3 linked regions of the Macaca mulatta genome follow. The protein of the gene in region 2 interacts with the protein of the main gene of each other region in a pairwise test. Links are inferred from orthologs where the notes say so. Each region holds a gene or a part of one and is shown on either strand. Other genes may lie near its edges. The genes, in order: PRPF19, EXOC7 and SSC5D.

Region 1 (5,920 bases), on a different chromosome or scaffold from region 2:
CCCATCCCTACTTTCCCTAATTTACTGGCAAATTCCAGCTGTCATGCCGTCACCTCTCTAAAAGTGGATAACAACACTGCTGCTGCTGCTATTTATTGATTGCCCTCTTTGTGTCAGGCACTGTGCCAGACAGTCCTGCAGGATGTATTCAATCATTCAGTTCATAATTCTAGAGCACCTACTACGTACCAGGCGCTCTCAGTGCTGGGGATACAACAAAGAATAAAACAAAACCCTGATGTCACAAAACCCTGATGATGATTATCTAAATAATTCTCCATCCTTCCCACCCCCAAGTCCTAACTCAGCGATGCATTCTCTTCAAGTGGGGAAGATGCTAATTCTCTTGCAGGAACTCACCCACTCATCCTGCAAGGCTTTCAGAATGGCCGGGATGCTGGTGGCTGAGGGAGGCTTGGGCCGGATTGGGTGAGCAACTGCCGAAAGGGAAAGTAGGTATGAAGAGCATAACCCAGGGACCTCCCCTGCCATCACATCTTTTCCTTTTAGCCATAAACAGCCCACCATCTCCTCCTCCAGTGCATTGGCACCACCTCCCATCCTCTCAGGCTCTGAGCTAAGATGGCCCTAGACTAAGGCAGCCAATAGGCACCTTTGATGTCGATGAGCTGCTCCTCGGAGAGAGGCTGGTTGTTGATGGGGTCGGTACCATTCTCTGCAATGTACTTCTCAATGAGCCGCCGCTCATAAACATGATTAGAGACAGGGGACACACATGGGTGCTCCGGCACTTCATTAGAGACTGTAGAGAAAAGGCCGGCAGTGAGCTTGGAGTGAAGGCAATCTTGAGCCTAGAGGATTCCTCATCTGCTATTAGCCCCAACAAGACTAGGCATCCTCACAATCAACTAGCAAAAAGCAAGACATCTGACCCTAAGCCAGTTCTGTACTGGCCCCAGAATGCTTTCCAGCTGTGGAACTAGCTTTTCCTTTAGTCTCCTGACAATCAGATAGTCAACAAATAATTATTAACAACTACTATGTGCCAAGCACCTAGAGAACAGCAGTCCATTATCGCCACCTAATATCTGAACAATGATTGTGTACTCTATGAATACAGTTTACTCCATGACATGGAGACACACATGAAGCCATTCAAATCCCTTCCATCCATCTTAGTCTATAGCTCCAGAGGGATTATCAAAGAAATCATAAAGTCTGAGAATATAGGAATAACAAACTCAGTTTCTCCTATTCTCTCACAAAACAAAATACTTCTGTGACCTCAGATGTGACCATCCGGGTGTCCTCCAATTCAATTCTGACACCAGGTACCTGGAGATAGTGTCAGATCACACGGGTTGAGGTCTCAGTCCCACCAGACTCCCCCACCCCTTCAGATGCCAATCGCAAGCTCCAGGTTGTTTGACCTGTTCTTCTGATCTACCAGCTGTAAATCAGGGTTCCCATGACCCCCTTTTTGGGTTCAATTAATTTTCAACAGTGACTCACAGAATTGTGGGAAACACTTATGTTGACCAGTTTATTATAAAGGATATTACAAAGGGTATAGATGAAGAGGTGCATAGGATGAGGTATGGGAGAAGGAGTACAGAGCTTCCCATGCCCTCCCTGGGCACCCCACCCTCCAGGAACGCCCACATGTTCTGCTATACAGAAGCTCTTTGAATCCTGCCCTTTTGTATTTTTATGAAAACTTCATTACAAAGGCATGATTCAATAAATCACTGGTCACTAGTGACAACTTCAGCCCCTCTCGTTCCCCAGGTAAGTGGGGGGTAGGACTGAAAATCCCAACTTTCTAATACCCTTTAGTCTTTCTAGGTGACCAGTCCCCATCCTGAAGCTATTGACGTCTGCCAGCTACCAGTCAACTGATTAGGATACAGGCAGACACTTATCACCTGGAAGATTCCAAGGAGCAAAGTGGCAATCATTACAATAAAAATATTTACATGGCACATGTCTATGTGCCAAGCACAATTCTAGGCATACAGTACAGTAATTCATGTTCACAACAACCCGCAATAGAGGTATCATTTACACTCTTGCCTGCATAGACTGTGCGCCCCTTGAGGATAAGGATTACAGCTGGTCTCTCACTTCCAGTACAATGCAGATGCCCCCGGGGCACTCGGTAAACATCTAACGAATGAGTGAACCCTGCCAGGAAAGATAGTGCTGGGGAACGTAAAAGAGAGCTTTCCCAAGACTGGAAGGAAACAATGAATATGAAGGTACTTTGCGAGCTGTAATTTCTTCAATGTGAGGGATTCCTTTTCCATCATTTCCCTTCCTTCTTCCCCCTCTCTGGATCAACGTACAGGTTCTGAGAAGAGACGGAGGTGAATAGCAAAAGGGAGGGGAAACGAGTAATCTGATGAAACAACGAAAAGGGAAAGGAAAACGTATGTACGTCATGATAAAATATCAAAGGGAAAGATAGTGGAAGGTATGGAAAAAGCAAGGATTCAGGCTCCAAACTCCGTGTCACCTAACTACGTCACCCAGCTCTGCCATTGACTAGCTACGCATTCTTAGATAAGCCCCGCTCTTCCTGAGCCTTGCCTCCTCATTTGCAACACCAGGATCTTTTCTCCTTTAGGGAATTCTTGTGAGGATAAAATGAGATCCTAGACTTGGAAGCGCGTTGTAAACCAATAAGGGCTTTATAAATGTGCGCTGTTTTTAATTAGTCATACACTGTAAGGCTGGGAGCCATATACCTAGCTGCCAGCCTTGCCTACCTCTAACTCATCATGTGACCTTTACAAATTGCAAAAGCTGCGACTATCCGAGCAAGGCCTCACAAAATATCCAGTGCAATGCTCTCAATTTTGCAGATGGGGAAACCGAGGCACAGAGCCTTAAGCCAATTCACAAAGCCAACAGGAGGCGGACCCTGGACAAGACCTCGGGTTTCCTGACTCTTACATCAAGGCTGTTTCCCCTGCACCAGCTCCCTCTGTCCAGGCCTGTTTCCACTCGGTAGAATGAGGCGACCTGCCTCAGTAATGCCTGCGACAATAAACCTCCGGCACTATGTAAACTGCGGAGCACTGCGCAAATGCACCCCGCTCCGAGGGGAGGGCTCCGGGGCTGACAGGCCGCCGCTCTGCCTCTGGAGCGCCCCATTCCCGCCTCCACCCCGGCCCCGGCCCCGGCGCCGCAGTGGCCCGCACACGCTCCCGCGCCGCTCTCCGGCCTCCTGCGACCCGCGCTCGGCCGCAGGCAACACTCACTGGAGCAGATTAGGGACATGGCGCCGTTGCCGCGCTCCCAGGCGCCACACGCCGGACTCCGGGACTGGCTTCTGAGCCTCCGCGAGCCACTTCCGGTCCCCCGCTGCTGCCGGGACTGCTCAGCTGCGAGCTGGGAGCCGCCAGTCGAGCGATGCTCGCGTAGCGCTTCACGTGGGAATGGGGACAGCCGCGCGCCACTGCCTCCAGCACCTAACGGAAATAGACCTTTCCCAGAATGCAGCCGGGCAGGAAAGGGCCCGCCACGAACACTCGGTTATTTCCGGATTGACTCGGCTCGTTCCGTAAAGCGCCCGGGGATTGGCGGGGGCGTCGGAAGAGAGGAGACTCGAAACTACATTTCCCATGATGCAGTGAGAACTTAAAACCAAAGCAATTGGACAGCACTTGTTTTGACAACTGTGCGGCACTGTGTCACGGGACCCTGGTCTTTGAAACCTTGGTGTGCGCGAGAATTTCCCAATTTCCCATTGTTAAAATGCAGATTCCTCGGATCTGCGTAGACAGACTGCGCCCCACGCTATTCTAAGTCAGGTGTTTCTCGGGCCACCCTTTAAGAGACACTGCTGGATGGCCTGGTGTTAAAAATACAGAGGCAGATGGGTACAGGAACTAAGAAAACGGCTAAGACAGCGTTTTGGTCCTGACTACTACCGTTTCGCTCTGTGATTTGGGGCAATTCACATTGGCTTCCCTGCCCTTTCTTCTTTGTCAAAAGACAAAATCACAACAAATTTAGTTTAAAGTTTTTTGTTTGTTTTTGTTTTTTGGTTTTGTTTTGTTTTTGTTTTTGTTTTTAAGAGACGGACTCTGGCAATGTTGCCCAGGCTGGAACGCAGTGGCTATTCACAGGTGCAATCGTAGCAATCATGGCTATCACAGGTGCATCCTGGAACTCCTGGGCTCAAGTGATCCTTCTGCCTCAGCCTCCAGAGTAGCTCTGGGACTTAGGGTGCAATTCTATAAAATTGGGCAGCGCCTTACACTATAAAATCTAATGGTTGTTCCAATGAGCTGAACAGGGGAGCTTGGTTTTTTAGACAGAAAAGGACTGAGGAAAACAGAAACAGAACAAAAATGGGATTGGTCATTTGGTAATCTCAAAATTACTTTTCTTGTAAAGGTTAAAGTGGAGGGTACTTCTTTATCATGCCATGTAAAACTTGCCTGTTTGGGAATTTAGCTCTCCCCGCCAACACACATGCACACACACACTCTCTCTCAGAAGGTCATAAAGATCTTAGTTTCAGCTCATTGGGGTGGAACTTCGGCAGGACTCTTTTTAGCTTGGTCTGTTAGGCCTAGCGCAAGAGCTCAGTCCAAACCAGTGGCCTCTTATCAATTTATTTTGTATTTTCTGTTTCTCTTCCAGCTCAGATAGTGTATGATTCTTTGTGGATATCTGTAAGATAAGATACTCTCAGGAATCATGCAAAAGACATGTGGTGTGGACTATAAGGTATCAAGACAAACGGGCAGGATGAACAGGATGTGTGAGTGAGAGGGACTTTGACAGGTGGGCAGTATTCAGAGGAGAAGGAGAAGGAAAGGCATTCCAGAAGGAGAAACAATGTAAGCAAAAGCTTGGAGAGAAAAATAAAAGTTACAGGTACAAAAGGTAGTATGGCATAGTGGCCAAGAGCATGGACTCTGAAGTCAGACTGTGTGCTCAAATCCTAGCACCACCCAGGTGATTAACTGTATGAACTTCTCTATGCCTTAGTTTCCTCATCTGTAAAACAGAGGGAGTGATGACAGGGGTAGAACTAACTCGCTGAACTCTTATGAGGAGTTAATATGCAAAAGGGCATTTCATCTCTCTCTTGCACCAACAAAGTAGCTTGCCACTTGTTCCTTGCTTCCAGCCTGGCCTCCTCCTCCTAATCTACTTTCCACAGAGCAGCCAGTGATCCGCTTTGAATGAAATATCGATTCATGTTATTCCCCAGGCATTTCATTCATCCAACAAATATTGATTGGGTACTTCCTATGTGCCAAGCCCTATTCTAAAAACTGGAGATAGAAAAGGTCAACAAGAAAGACACAGTTTCTGCTCTTTTGGAGCTTACACTGTACTGGGAGTGGTGGGAGCACAGAGACAATCAACACTTAAGAAGAAAATTCCAGAGTAGTAGTGCTATGAATGCAACAAATCAGAGCAAAGTAGACAGAGGTGCTGGGGATTGGAGGAATGGCTGCTTTAGACAGGGCACTTAGAGAGTGCATCTTTGAGGAGCTGATTTTTTTTTCGCTGAGAACTGAATGAGGGTATGGAGCAAAAAAGTTTCTCCTCTGCCCTCTAAAGATTTGCTGAAATTAACTGACAAACGACAGAATAACAGGAGAAACGACATACAAGTGTATTAGTGTGCAAGTGTGCACAGCAGTCATACAAAATATGAGGCTCAAAGAAGGAACAGGTGGCTGATGCTTACTTAAATGGCACCCAGGAAAGAGGGAGATGGGGGAAATGTAGGCAATTTTGAGGGCTAGCAAATAATTTTTAGGGGAAATGAATGAGCCCCAAGAACAGACAATGCCTTGGGACAAAATTCTTATGAGCTCTGGAGGAGGTGGCAACAAATTGTGGGAAGGTGAGGGGCAGAACTCCATTGTGAACAAAGGTTGTCTTATACTCATAAAGTCTCCCAGGTAATCTGTTATAGCTCCCTCAGAAG
Region 2 (5,961 bases):
TTTATGGTGGGATTAGAGGAGCATTAACAAGGGCAATGTTTGTAGTAAAGCCAGGCAAACAGAAGGCTCTCAGTACATGGTAGTTAGCAACCCCATTAGACTCAGACACTGAAGGAAATTTGAGGAAATGCAGTAAAGCACACACCGTTTATTGACAAAAATGCAATGACATTGTACAGATTTGAAAATATTAGCTTCCTCATGAGCATAAAAGATTCCCAAGACCTATGGAACAAAAAAAAATTTTTTTTTTTCTTGAGATGGAGTCTTGCTCTGTTGCCCAGGCTGGAGTGCAATGACACCATCTCGGCTCACCACAACCTTTGCCTCCTGAGTTCAAGCGATTCTCCTGCCTCAGCCTCCCGAGTAGCTGGGACTACAGGTGCACACCACCATGCCTAGCTAATTTTTGTATTTTTAGTAGACATGGGGTTTCACTATGTTGACGAGGCTGGTCTCGAACTCCTGACCTCCTGATCCACCTGCCTCAGCCTCCCAAAGTGCTGGGATTACAGGCATGAGCCACTGCACCTGGCCAGAGCAAAATATTATTATCAGTATTTTTATTGAGCATCTACTATGGGTGAGGAACTGGTTAGAGACTCAGGCCAGTGCGGTGGCTCACACCTGTAATGCCAGCACTTTGGGAGGCCGAGGCGGGCGGATCACCTGAGGTCGGGAGTTCAAGAACAGCCTGAACAACATGGAGAAACCCTGTCTCTACTAAAAATACAAAATTAGACAGGGTGGTGGCGTATGCCTGTAATCCCAGCTACTTGGGAGGCTGAGGCAGAAGAATTGCTTGAATCCGGGAGGCGGAGGTTGTGGTGAGCTGAGATGGCGCCATTGCACTCCAGCCTGGGCAACAGAGCAAGACTGCGTCTCAAGGAAAAAAAAAAGAGAGAGACTCGGGTTAAATACTGGACCAGGCCCTCAAGGGTTGTCCACCTGAACCCAAAACATCCTCTCTGCAGCGGCTCACTAGCCCCCCTATTCTATTCTGTGACACCTAACAGTTTAAACTTTTCCCCACTTAGCCCTTAGGACGACACAAGGACCACGTCAGCGAAATCATCCTGGGTATTTCCTGACACAGGAATCTGCCCTTTACCTCCCCCACCTACAAAAGGACGGAAATTGTCCTCCTGCCCGAGGGAAGGCTGCCCATCCCTCTCCAGGCTCTGTACACCCATTTCCTCCTCCTCCTCTTTGGGTGGCTATGAGTAGAGGGAGCGCATGGGAACCCTAGAACTTGGTGCCCCCCAGGCTGGGAGTAGCGGCTCACGCCTGTAATCCCAGGACTTTGGGAAGCCGAGGTGGGTGGATCACTTGAGGTCATGAGTTCGAGACTAGACTGGGCAACATGGCAAAACCCTGTCTCTACCAACAATACAAAAAAATTAGCCGGGCGTGTTGGCAGCCGCCTGTAATCCCAGCTACTCAGGAGGCTGAGGCACGAGAATCACTTGAACCCGGGAGGCAGAGGTTTCAATGAGCGGAGATCGTGCCACTGAATTGCAGCCTGGGCGACAGAGTGATACTCCCTCTCACAACAAAAAAAGAAAAGCTTGGTGTCCGTCCCCCCCCCCCAACCTTCTCATCCACCAGCACATGCCTCCTTGTCTATCTTCCCGGTGTCTGGACACTGAGGCCACAGAAGGACTGAACCAAGTTGGTCGGCCATGTCCTGTCTCAAGGCCGGGGGCCAGAGGCAGGGTGGGCAGGGACTGGTTAGAGGAAGGAGTAATTCTAGGTTTTTCAGGAGCTGGGTCTACAACCACAACATCCAACCCTGCAGGGAAGTTGATCCAGGGGCGCCCACCACGCCATCCCCTGGAGCTGCAGCTGGAAGCTGGGACTGGGCCTGGAGCTCCGGAGCAGCCCCGCCAGCCCACAGGATACGGTTTTGCGTAATGCAGGGTTGAAGGGGAAAACGACTACACAAGCCCCTGGTTCATTACATGGACACACGTTAGGCATCTACTGTGTCACCTGCGCTGTGCCGGGCGCTGTGGGGAACACAATCGGCCTTGGTGCCTGCCCACAGAATGCGACCTGGGGAAAGGAATTCGTCGCCTTCCCCAGCAGTGTTTATGAAAAGGCTCGGTCTTTCAACGAAAACAGCAAGTGAGCTGTAAGCGTCCTACCAGCCGCGGGACATAAGGCCGATCAAAAACCTCTCCTGAGGAAAGGAACCCGCGTCGAGATCCCTTGTAGGATCCGAGTACACGTCACTCCACAGCCACACTCAAGATGGCCGTCGGTCCGTTCCTGGGCTCCGCGCAGGCGCACTTCCGCCTTCCACGCCCAACCTGGCTCCGCCCAGGTGTCCCGGGGCGGGACCAAGAGCGGAAGTGGGTGTGACGGGGACTGGGGCCCGGTGCGCCAGCGAAGGAGAGATAGTGGGGAGTGGGAGCCGTGGGGTTCGGAGCGATGATTCCCCCACAGGAGGCATCCGCCCGAAGGCGGGAGATCGAGGACAAGCTGAAGCAGGTGGGCGTGGGCCTGGGGAGGAGGTGAGGGAAAGAGGCCAACAGCGGGGCCTGAGTGTCTACTCGGAGAGGAGGCAGGGGTGGGAGGGAGCGCACCGAGCGAGGAGATGGGGTTGGGGGCTAGGCCGTGGGGTCGGGACACAGTGGTCTCCTTTAGCTTCTGGTTTCTGGTGATGTCCTCCCCTTGCCTGCTCCCAGGAGGAGGAGACGCTGTCCTTCATCCGAGACAGCCTGGAGAAGAGCGACCAGCTCACTAAGAACATGGTGAGTCTCCTCGCAGCTGGGGGAGGGGGCAGGCCTCCGGACCCTGGGGGAAAGCCTTGCGACCTGGCGGTTCCAGTTCTTGCGGCCTGGGGTTCTGTCATGGGTAGCGACGCAGGCAGTGTGTGGGTTTATCTAGCAGCAGTTTGGCATCTCTCCTGCCTAGCCCCCTCCCCATATTCCGTCCCCTCACTGAGGAGGCTGCGCTTCCCCCTGGCCTGGACTTGCTGCTTTCTGTCTAAGCTCGCCATTCTTCCTTCTCTCCTTCTGCAAATACTCAGTGAGTCTGACCAGTTAGTTGGGCTAGGTACTGGGCATATGTCATCGTCAATGGATCCTCTGCCCAGGAGGTTGGCACTTTGAGATTCCTGAGAGCAGAGAAGACTCAGCCTTCACTCCAGAGGGCTTCAGGGAAAGAAAGAGCTCTGAAGTCAGGCAGATCTGGGATCTAGTCCTTGCCCTGCTGCTTAAGTGTGTGGCTCCTGATAGGTAACTCTGGTGTCAGCGAATTCATCTGCTAAAGCAGAGACTGTGCCAGCCTCCCAGTGTGTCTGTGAAGGTCATATGCGCTAATGCATGCGACTGCATCTTGCTCAGTGCCTGGTATACAATAGGTGCTCAATAAGTGAGGTTCCTTCTTTATTCCTAGGGGAGACTGGAAAAGCACAAAGTGAGTAAATACAAACTTGTATTTGTATTTAGTCACACAATAATAAAGTCCTAGTCCTTTTCTAAAAAATTTAATTTTAAAATTATTTCTTTTTAGAGACAGGGTCTGGCTCTGTTGTGCAGGCTAGAGTGCAGTGGCATGACCGTAGCTCACTGCAGTCTCTAACTCCTGGGCTCAGGCAGTCCTCCTGCCTCGGCATCCTAGTAGCTGGGACTGTAGGCACATACCACCACACCTTGCTAATTATGTGCGTGTGTGTGTCTGTGTGTGTAGACAGGGTCTCACTGTGTTGTCCAGGCTGGTCTTGGACTCCTAGTCTCAAGCAATCCTCCTGCCTCAGCCTCCCAAATTCTTAGGATTACAGGCATGAACCATCACGCCCAGCCTCTAGTCCTTATTCAATGAGTTTCATCCTTAAGAGAGTTTTGAAGATACAGAAATGCATTTGAGGCTTCTCTGTATGAAACTACTTCCAGTCCAGTTTAGGAATGCTTCAAAGAGAGCAGAAGTTGAGATTTGGCTTCAAAGGGTGGAAGGGAAGCCATCTTGGGCTGATTATTTTAGGAAGAATTAATTTGATGCTTGGTTTGCCTTCAAATAAAATTTCAACCAATTTGTCTTAAATCACCTACTATATGCTAGGCACATGATGGGTGCTGAGGATACAATGGGGAACAGATACACCCTCTTCCTTCCCTTGTGGAGTTTATTGTCTAGAAACCCAGAGAAAAGGCAGGAAATGCCCAAGGTGGGTGTGTAGAAGCAGTGCTGGGACCACCATGAGGCCTGAGATCAAGAGGCTTCCCTCCTGCAGGTGTCTATCTTATCATCCTTTGAGAGCCGCCTTATGAAGCTGGAGAACTCCATCATCCCCGTGCACAAGCAGACGGAGAATCTGCAGCGGCTGCAGGAGAATGTTGAGAAGACACTGTCCTGCCTGGACCATGTCATCAGCTACTACCATGTGGCCAGTGACACTGAGAAGATCATCAGAGAGGGGTGAGTTAGGCCCATAGGGTCAATTCCTAATCCCTCCTGGACCGGAGGGTTGGTCTGTAATCCCAATAATTTGGGATGCTGATGCGGGAGGATCACTTGAGACCAGGAGTTCAAGACCAGCCTGGACAACACAGTGAGATGCCTTTTAAGCCCTAAGCCTTAAAAGGCGGTGGGGGGGATAGCATATATTTGAACCTGGAGTCCCATGTATTAATTCTCTTCTTTCCCTTCCAAATACTGTGTCCTTAGTCCTTCTTCACCCCCCTTGCCCCAGCCTGACCTGGCTCTTTTGCTTCCCAGCCCCACAGGTAGGCTGGAAGAGTACCTGGGAAGCATGGCCAAGATTCAGAAGGCAGTGGAGTATTTCCAGGACAACAGCCCAGACAGCCCAGAACTCAACAAAGTGGTAAGGGATCTGCAGAATAATGTGAGGAGCTTGGGGATATCAGTCTCTGCCCTGGTCTCATGAGGGACATGGGGCCAGCTTGAGGATGTATACAGTAGAATACACAGAAGGATATAGCACAGTACATCCTCTAGGCATTAGTATCTCTGCCTCAAGAATTGCACATTTTTTATTATTAAAAATTCTTTATTATAAAACTTTTAAATGTATTATAAAAATTAAATTATAAATTACATATAAAATATATACTTAACATTTGATTTTTTTTTTTTTTTTCTCCTGAGACAGAGTCTTGCTCTGTCACCCAGGCTGGAGTGCAGTGCTCAGTTCACTGCAACCTCTGCTCCCGGGTCCATGCCATTCTCCTGCCTCCGCCTCCGGAGTAGCTGGGATTACAGGCGCCCGCCACCACACCCGGCTAATTTTTGTATTTTTAGTGGAGATGGGGTTTCGCCATGTTGGCCAGGCTGGTCTCAAACTCCTGACCTCAGATGATCCCCCACCTTGGCCTGGGATTACAGGCATGAGCCATTGCACCCAGCCACATTTGATTTTTATAAATGTATTTGTTGTTTCTTTATTTTGGTTAAAAATACATAATATAAATTTTTTTTTTTTTTGAGACGAAGTTTTGCTCTTGTTGCCCAAGCTGGAGTGCAATGGTGCGATCTCCCAAGCGATTCTCTTGCCTCGGCCTCCTGAGTAGCTGGGATTACAGGCGTGCGCCACCACTCCCGGCTAATTTTTTTTTTTTTTTTTGTAGTTTTAGTAGAAACGGGGTTTCACCATGTTAGCCAGGCTGGTCACGAACTCCTAACCTCAGGTGATCCGCCTGCCTTGGCTTCCAAAGTGCTGGGATTATAGGCGTGAGCCACCGCGCCCGGCCAAAATATACTATTTTAACTCTAAGTTAACAGTGGCATTAAGTCCCTTCACAATGTTGTGTAGCCATCACCATTATTATCTCCACAAATATGTTCATCTTCCTCAAGTGAAACTCCACTCCCATCAAACACTAACTTCCCATTCTCCCTTCCTGTGTCTTCTGGTAACCACCATTCCACTTTCCGTTTCTGTGAATCTACTCTAGGAACTTGAATCTATGTGATTTTTTTTTTTGCATTATATATTTT
Region 3 (4,604 bases), on a different chromosome or scaffold from region 2:
TTAGCTGGGTGTGGTGGTACGCACCTGTGGTCCCAGCTGCTTGGGAGGCTGAGGCAGGAGGATCCCTTGAGCCTGGGTGCTCCAGGCTGTGGTTATGCCACTGCATTCCAGCCTGGGTGCCAGAGCGAGACCTTGTCATAAACAAAACAAAACATAACAAAACAGAGCCAAGGGGTTATTATCTAGACCACTGGTCACCCACTAGGGTCGATTTTGCCCCCAAGGGGCATTTGACAATATCTGAAGATATTTTGGATTGTCATGGCAGGAAGTGAGAGGTCACCCATGGGCACCTCATCGGTAGAGGCCAGGAATGGTGTTAAACATCCCACAATGCACAGGACATCTCTCCATAACAAAGAACCACCCAGCCCTACATGACAACAGTACCGAGGTTGAGAAACCCCAGCCTAGATAGCCATAAGTCACTGTGACAAATAGGAAAATGATAGGAAGCCCTAGATGAGAAAGAGGGAAAGATACAAACAAGTGATTCCCCGAAAGGGAAGCCCAAATGGCTGAGTGTGTTTAGAAATGCCCACGCTCACCAGGAACCAGAAAATACAAATTAAAACAATGGCAAGTACGGAGGAGAATGAGAAAGGTGGGTATTATCAAGTGTGAGTGAGGATGTGGGGAGACAGGCAACCCCACTGGACAGAGCTGTTTGATAAAGACGGTCCAGCAGTATTTAGTAAAGTTAAGCATGATTAGGCCGGGCGCAGTGGCTCACGCCTGTAATCACAGCACTTTGGGAGGCTGAGGTGGGCGGATCACGAGGTCAGGAAATCGAGACCATCCTGGCTAACACGGAAACCCCGTCTCTACTAAATATACAAAAAATTAGCCGGGCATGGTGGCGGGTGCCTGTAGTCCCAGCTCCTCGGGAGGCTGAGGCAGGAGAATGGCGTGAACCTGGGAGGCGGAGCTTGCCGTGAGCCGAGATCGCGCCACTGCACTCCAGTCTGGGCGACAGAGCAAGACTCCGTCTCAAAAAAATAAAAATAAAAATAAAAATAAAATTTAAAATTCCATAAAGGTATTTTGATTACTAAAATTACCCTTCGGAGCCTCTTTGGTCTCCCTGCCTTCCCCGGCTCCCCACATCGCCCAGTCCCCCGCTGTCTCGGAATCCTCTCGTATGCTGCACGCTTCTGAGCACTCCCCCAGCTCCCGCGCCCCAGCATCCCCCGCATCCCTCCCTCACCTCACCCTCCTGCACCCACTCCCTCGACCCGCGTGCCCCTCCGCAGCGGAGGACACCAGGTGGCGCCTGGAGACATCGGAGGAGGCAGGGAGGAGGGGCCCTAGGGCCGGGTGAAGTCTGCCGGTGACCCATGACGTCTCGAGGCTCTGCGCCTCTCCATTGGTCGACTCCTCGAGGGGCGGGGCGGGACGCATAGTGGGCGGAGCCGGCTGACCTCAGACCGTCCGTCTGTCTTTCCTCCTCCTCCAGGTTCCCCGAGGAAACCCTGGCCCGAGCGCCGGCCACCGCGGCCCGCTGCGACCAGGACAGCGCCCGCAACCCCGTCCCCAGGTCCCTCCGCCTCTCCAGGACCCCCAGGCCCAGCGCTGACCTCTGACTGCAGTCCAGAGCTCACGCCCCACTCAGCCTTGACGCCCGAGGCGACCTCTGACCCTCCGGACACTTCACCACCCACCCCAGACCCGACCTCCCGGACGAACCCCGACCTCATCCTGACAAGCCCTGACTTTGCTTTGTCCACCCCTGACTCCAGTGTGGTTCCAGCGTTGACCCCGGAGCCCTCGCCCACGCCCTTACCCACCTTGCCCAAAGAGCTGACCTCTGACCCTTCTACAGCGTCGGAGGTGACCAGCCTTTCCCCTACCTCAGAGCAGATCCCAGAATCTGACACAACCCCAGACTTGGACACAACTCCATACTCCAGTACAGTCTCGGAATATTCCAGATCCCCAGCCCCCTCCCCAAGCCCTCACCCCTCTGCTATCCCTGATCCCACCATGACCCCTGACCACACCACAACCCCTAACCCTACTGTGACCCCTCAGTTCCCTACCACCACTCACCCCACCACGACCCCTCAACCCACTACCATCACTCACTCCACCATGATTCCTGACCCTACCACAACCCCTCAACCCTTCACCACCATGCAGCCCACCACAACCCCTCACCCCACAACCCCTCACCCCACCACAACCCCTCATCCCACCACCACCACTCACTCCACCATGATTCCTGACCCCACCACAGCCCCTCAACCCTTCACCACCATGCAGCCCACCATGATCCCTCACCCCACAACTCCTTACCCCACCACAACCCCTCACCCCACCACAACCCCTCACCCCACCACAACCCCTCACCCCATCACGACTCCTGACCCCACCACGACCCCTCACCCCACCACGACTCCTGACCCCACCACGACCCCTCACCCCACCACAACTCCTGACTCTTCCTCAACCCCTATCATCACTACTAAGTCCCTTCCAACCTCCTTGGGGACAGAACTCTCCTCTCCCACTCTAGCACCAACAGTCAAGCCCAGTCTGCACCCCCAGTTGACCTTCACAGCACCTGCCCCTCACACCTCCACATCCCAGATGCCCACCTTAGAGCCCTCTCCAGCCTTGGAGTCCAGCCCCTCCAGGTCCTCCACAGCCACAAGCATGGACCCACTGTCCACTGAGGACTTCAAGCCACCCAGAAGCCAGAGCCCCAACCTAACCCTTCCACCCACCCATACCCCACACTCAGCCTCTGACCTCACTATGTCTCCTGACCCCCACCTCTCCCTGATAGCCCACCCCTTGGATCATCCTCCCCTTGACCCCCTCACCCTAGGGCCAACCCCTGGTCAGAGCCCAGGCCCCCATGGTCCATGTGTGGCCCCAACACCACCTGTAAGGGTCATGGCTTGTGAGCCACCTGCCCTGGTGGAACTGGTGGCTGCCGTGAGGGATGTGGGTGGTCAGCTGCAGAGACTGACCCAGGTCGTGGAACAGGACCGGCAGGAGCGCCAAGCCCTGCTGCTGGGGCTGACCCAGCTGGTAGAGGCTGCCCGGGGTCTGGGGCAGCTGGGTGAGGCCATGAAGAGAGTGGTAGAGATGGCCTGGACCACCAGCATGCCTGCACCAACCACCACTACCCCAGAGGAAGAAGAAAGGCCTCTGAGGGGAGACGTGTGACCCTCTCCAGGATTTGAGGGGCGTAAGACATTCCCGATCAAAACAAAACAAAAAAAACCAAAGTGCCTAATTAAAAACAAGGTGTGGATGGTGTTTTTGGGAAATTCTAGAGAAATAGAATTACAAGATTGATCTTGATATGTGAATAGCCCAGGTGCCATGCAAGGCGGTGTTGACGATGGGGATGATTATGAGGGTGGTGATGATGGTGATGATCTTGATGGTGATCGTGATAGGAGGACGATCACTGTGGTGAGGATCATGATAATGAGAATGGTAAGATGGTGGTGGTGGTGGTGGTGGTGGTGAAGATGGTGAAATAATGCTGATGATCATGAGGGAATGGTCATGGTGTTGAGGCAGTGACTATAATGATGGTGGTGGTGGTGATGGTGGTGATGATGATGATGAAGATGGTGAAATGATGGTGATAGTGGTGGTGGTGATGATGGTGATGATCACAGTGATGATGATGGTGCTGGTCATGAGGGAGTGGTCATGGGGATGAGGGAATGATAGTAATGATGATGGTGGTGGTGGTGGTGATGGTGGGAATGTTGATGATGATGATGAAGATGGTGAAATGATGGTGATGCTGATAGTGATGATCGTGAGAGAATTGTCATGGTGATGAGGCAATGACCATGATGATGATGGTGGTGATGATGATGGTGATGATCACAGTGATGATGATGGTGCTGGTCATGAGGGAGTGGTCATGGTGATGAGGGAATGATGGTAATGATGATGGTGGTGGTGGTGATGATGGTGATAAGGGTGATTATGGGGATGATGGTCACATTGATGGTGATGGTGATGGTGGTAGTGGTGGTGATAATGATGGCAATGATGGTGTGAAAGGTGATCATGGTGGTGATGACTGTGAAGGAACAGCCGTGGTGACGAGGCAATGATGGTAATGATGATGATGGTGATGGTGATGATGTTGGTGATTATGGTGGTAAAGATGATCCCGGTGGTGATGACTGTGGTGATGGCTGTGACAATGATGAAGCTTCATGTGAGCAAAAACTTGGCCTTGTTCATGGATGGAAGCCCAGTTTCTAGGAAAGAAGCCGATGCAGAGTACACACTCGATAATTAATATCTTTTGAATGAAAGAGTGCATCATCATCATCATCATGGCTAATATTTCTTGGGCACTTCCTATGTGTCAGGCTCTGTTTTAAGGGCTTTGCATGGATGGTGATGTCATTTTGTCTTAACGAGTGCCTGCCGAGGAGGGTACTGTTACCACGGCTCAGCAGATGAGGAGGTGCGTATTGCAGCCTGGATTCCTGAGTTTGAGTCCTTGCTGGGAGTAAACATAAACCAGTTACTTAACCTCTGGGTCTCATCTTCTCCAACTATAAAACAGGGATAATAATAGTACACATGCCTCATGGGGTTGCTGTAATGATTGAATAAGT

The links.
Region 1: the proteins of EXOC7 (region 2) and PRPF19 interact in a two-hybrid assay, tested with the Homo sapiens proteins (2 studies listed by BioGRID and IntAct, with this or other methods). The link is inferred for Macaca mulatta from reciprocal best matches to the Homo sapiens genes EXOC7 and PRPF19.
Region 3: the proteins of EXOC7 (region 2) and SSC5D interact in binary tests that used the Homo sapiens proteins (3 or more experiments, as listed by UniProt). The two-hybrid records come from large-scale screens. The link is inferred for Macaca mulatta from reciprocal best matches to the Homo sapiens genes EXOC7 and SSC5D.

The regions. Positions count from the first base shown.
Region 1 is NC_133419.1:13,164,871-13,170,790, reverse strand, and holds the start of PRPF19 (pre-mRNA-processing factor 19), read right to left. Parts: upstream 3,445-5,920; 5' UTR 3,244-3,444; coding exon 3,225-3,243; intron 2,312-3,224; exon of another isoform or gene 2,224-2,311; intron 764-2,223; coding exon 614-763; intron 438-613; coding exon 361-437; intron 1-360. UniProt on the Homo sapiens protein: Ubiquitin-protein ligase which is a core component of several complexes mainly involved pre-mRNA splicing and DNA repair. Required for pre-mRNA splicing as component of the spliceosome.
Region 2 is NC_133421.1:85,832,140-85,838,100, reverse strand, and holds the start of EXOC7 (exocyst complex component 7), read left to right. Parts: upstream 1-2,350; 5' UTR 2,351-2,433; coding exon 2,434-2,493; intron 2,494-2,690; coding exon 2,691-2,756; intron 2,757-4,237; coding exon 4,238-4,422; intron 4,423-4,722; coding exon 4,723-4,828; intron 4,829-5,961. UniProt on the Homo sapiens protein: Component of the exocyst complex involved in the docking of exocytic vesicles with fusion sites on the plasma membrane.
Region 3 is NC_133424.1:67,856,713-67,861,316, forward strand, and holds the end of SSC5D (soluble scavenger receptor cysteine-rich domain-containing protein SSC5D), read left to right. Parts: intron 1-1,456; coding exon 1,457-3,174; 3' UTR 3,175-3,251; downstream 3,252-4,604.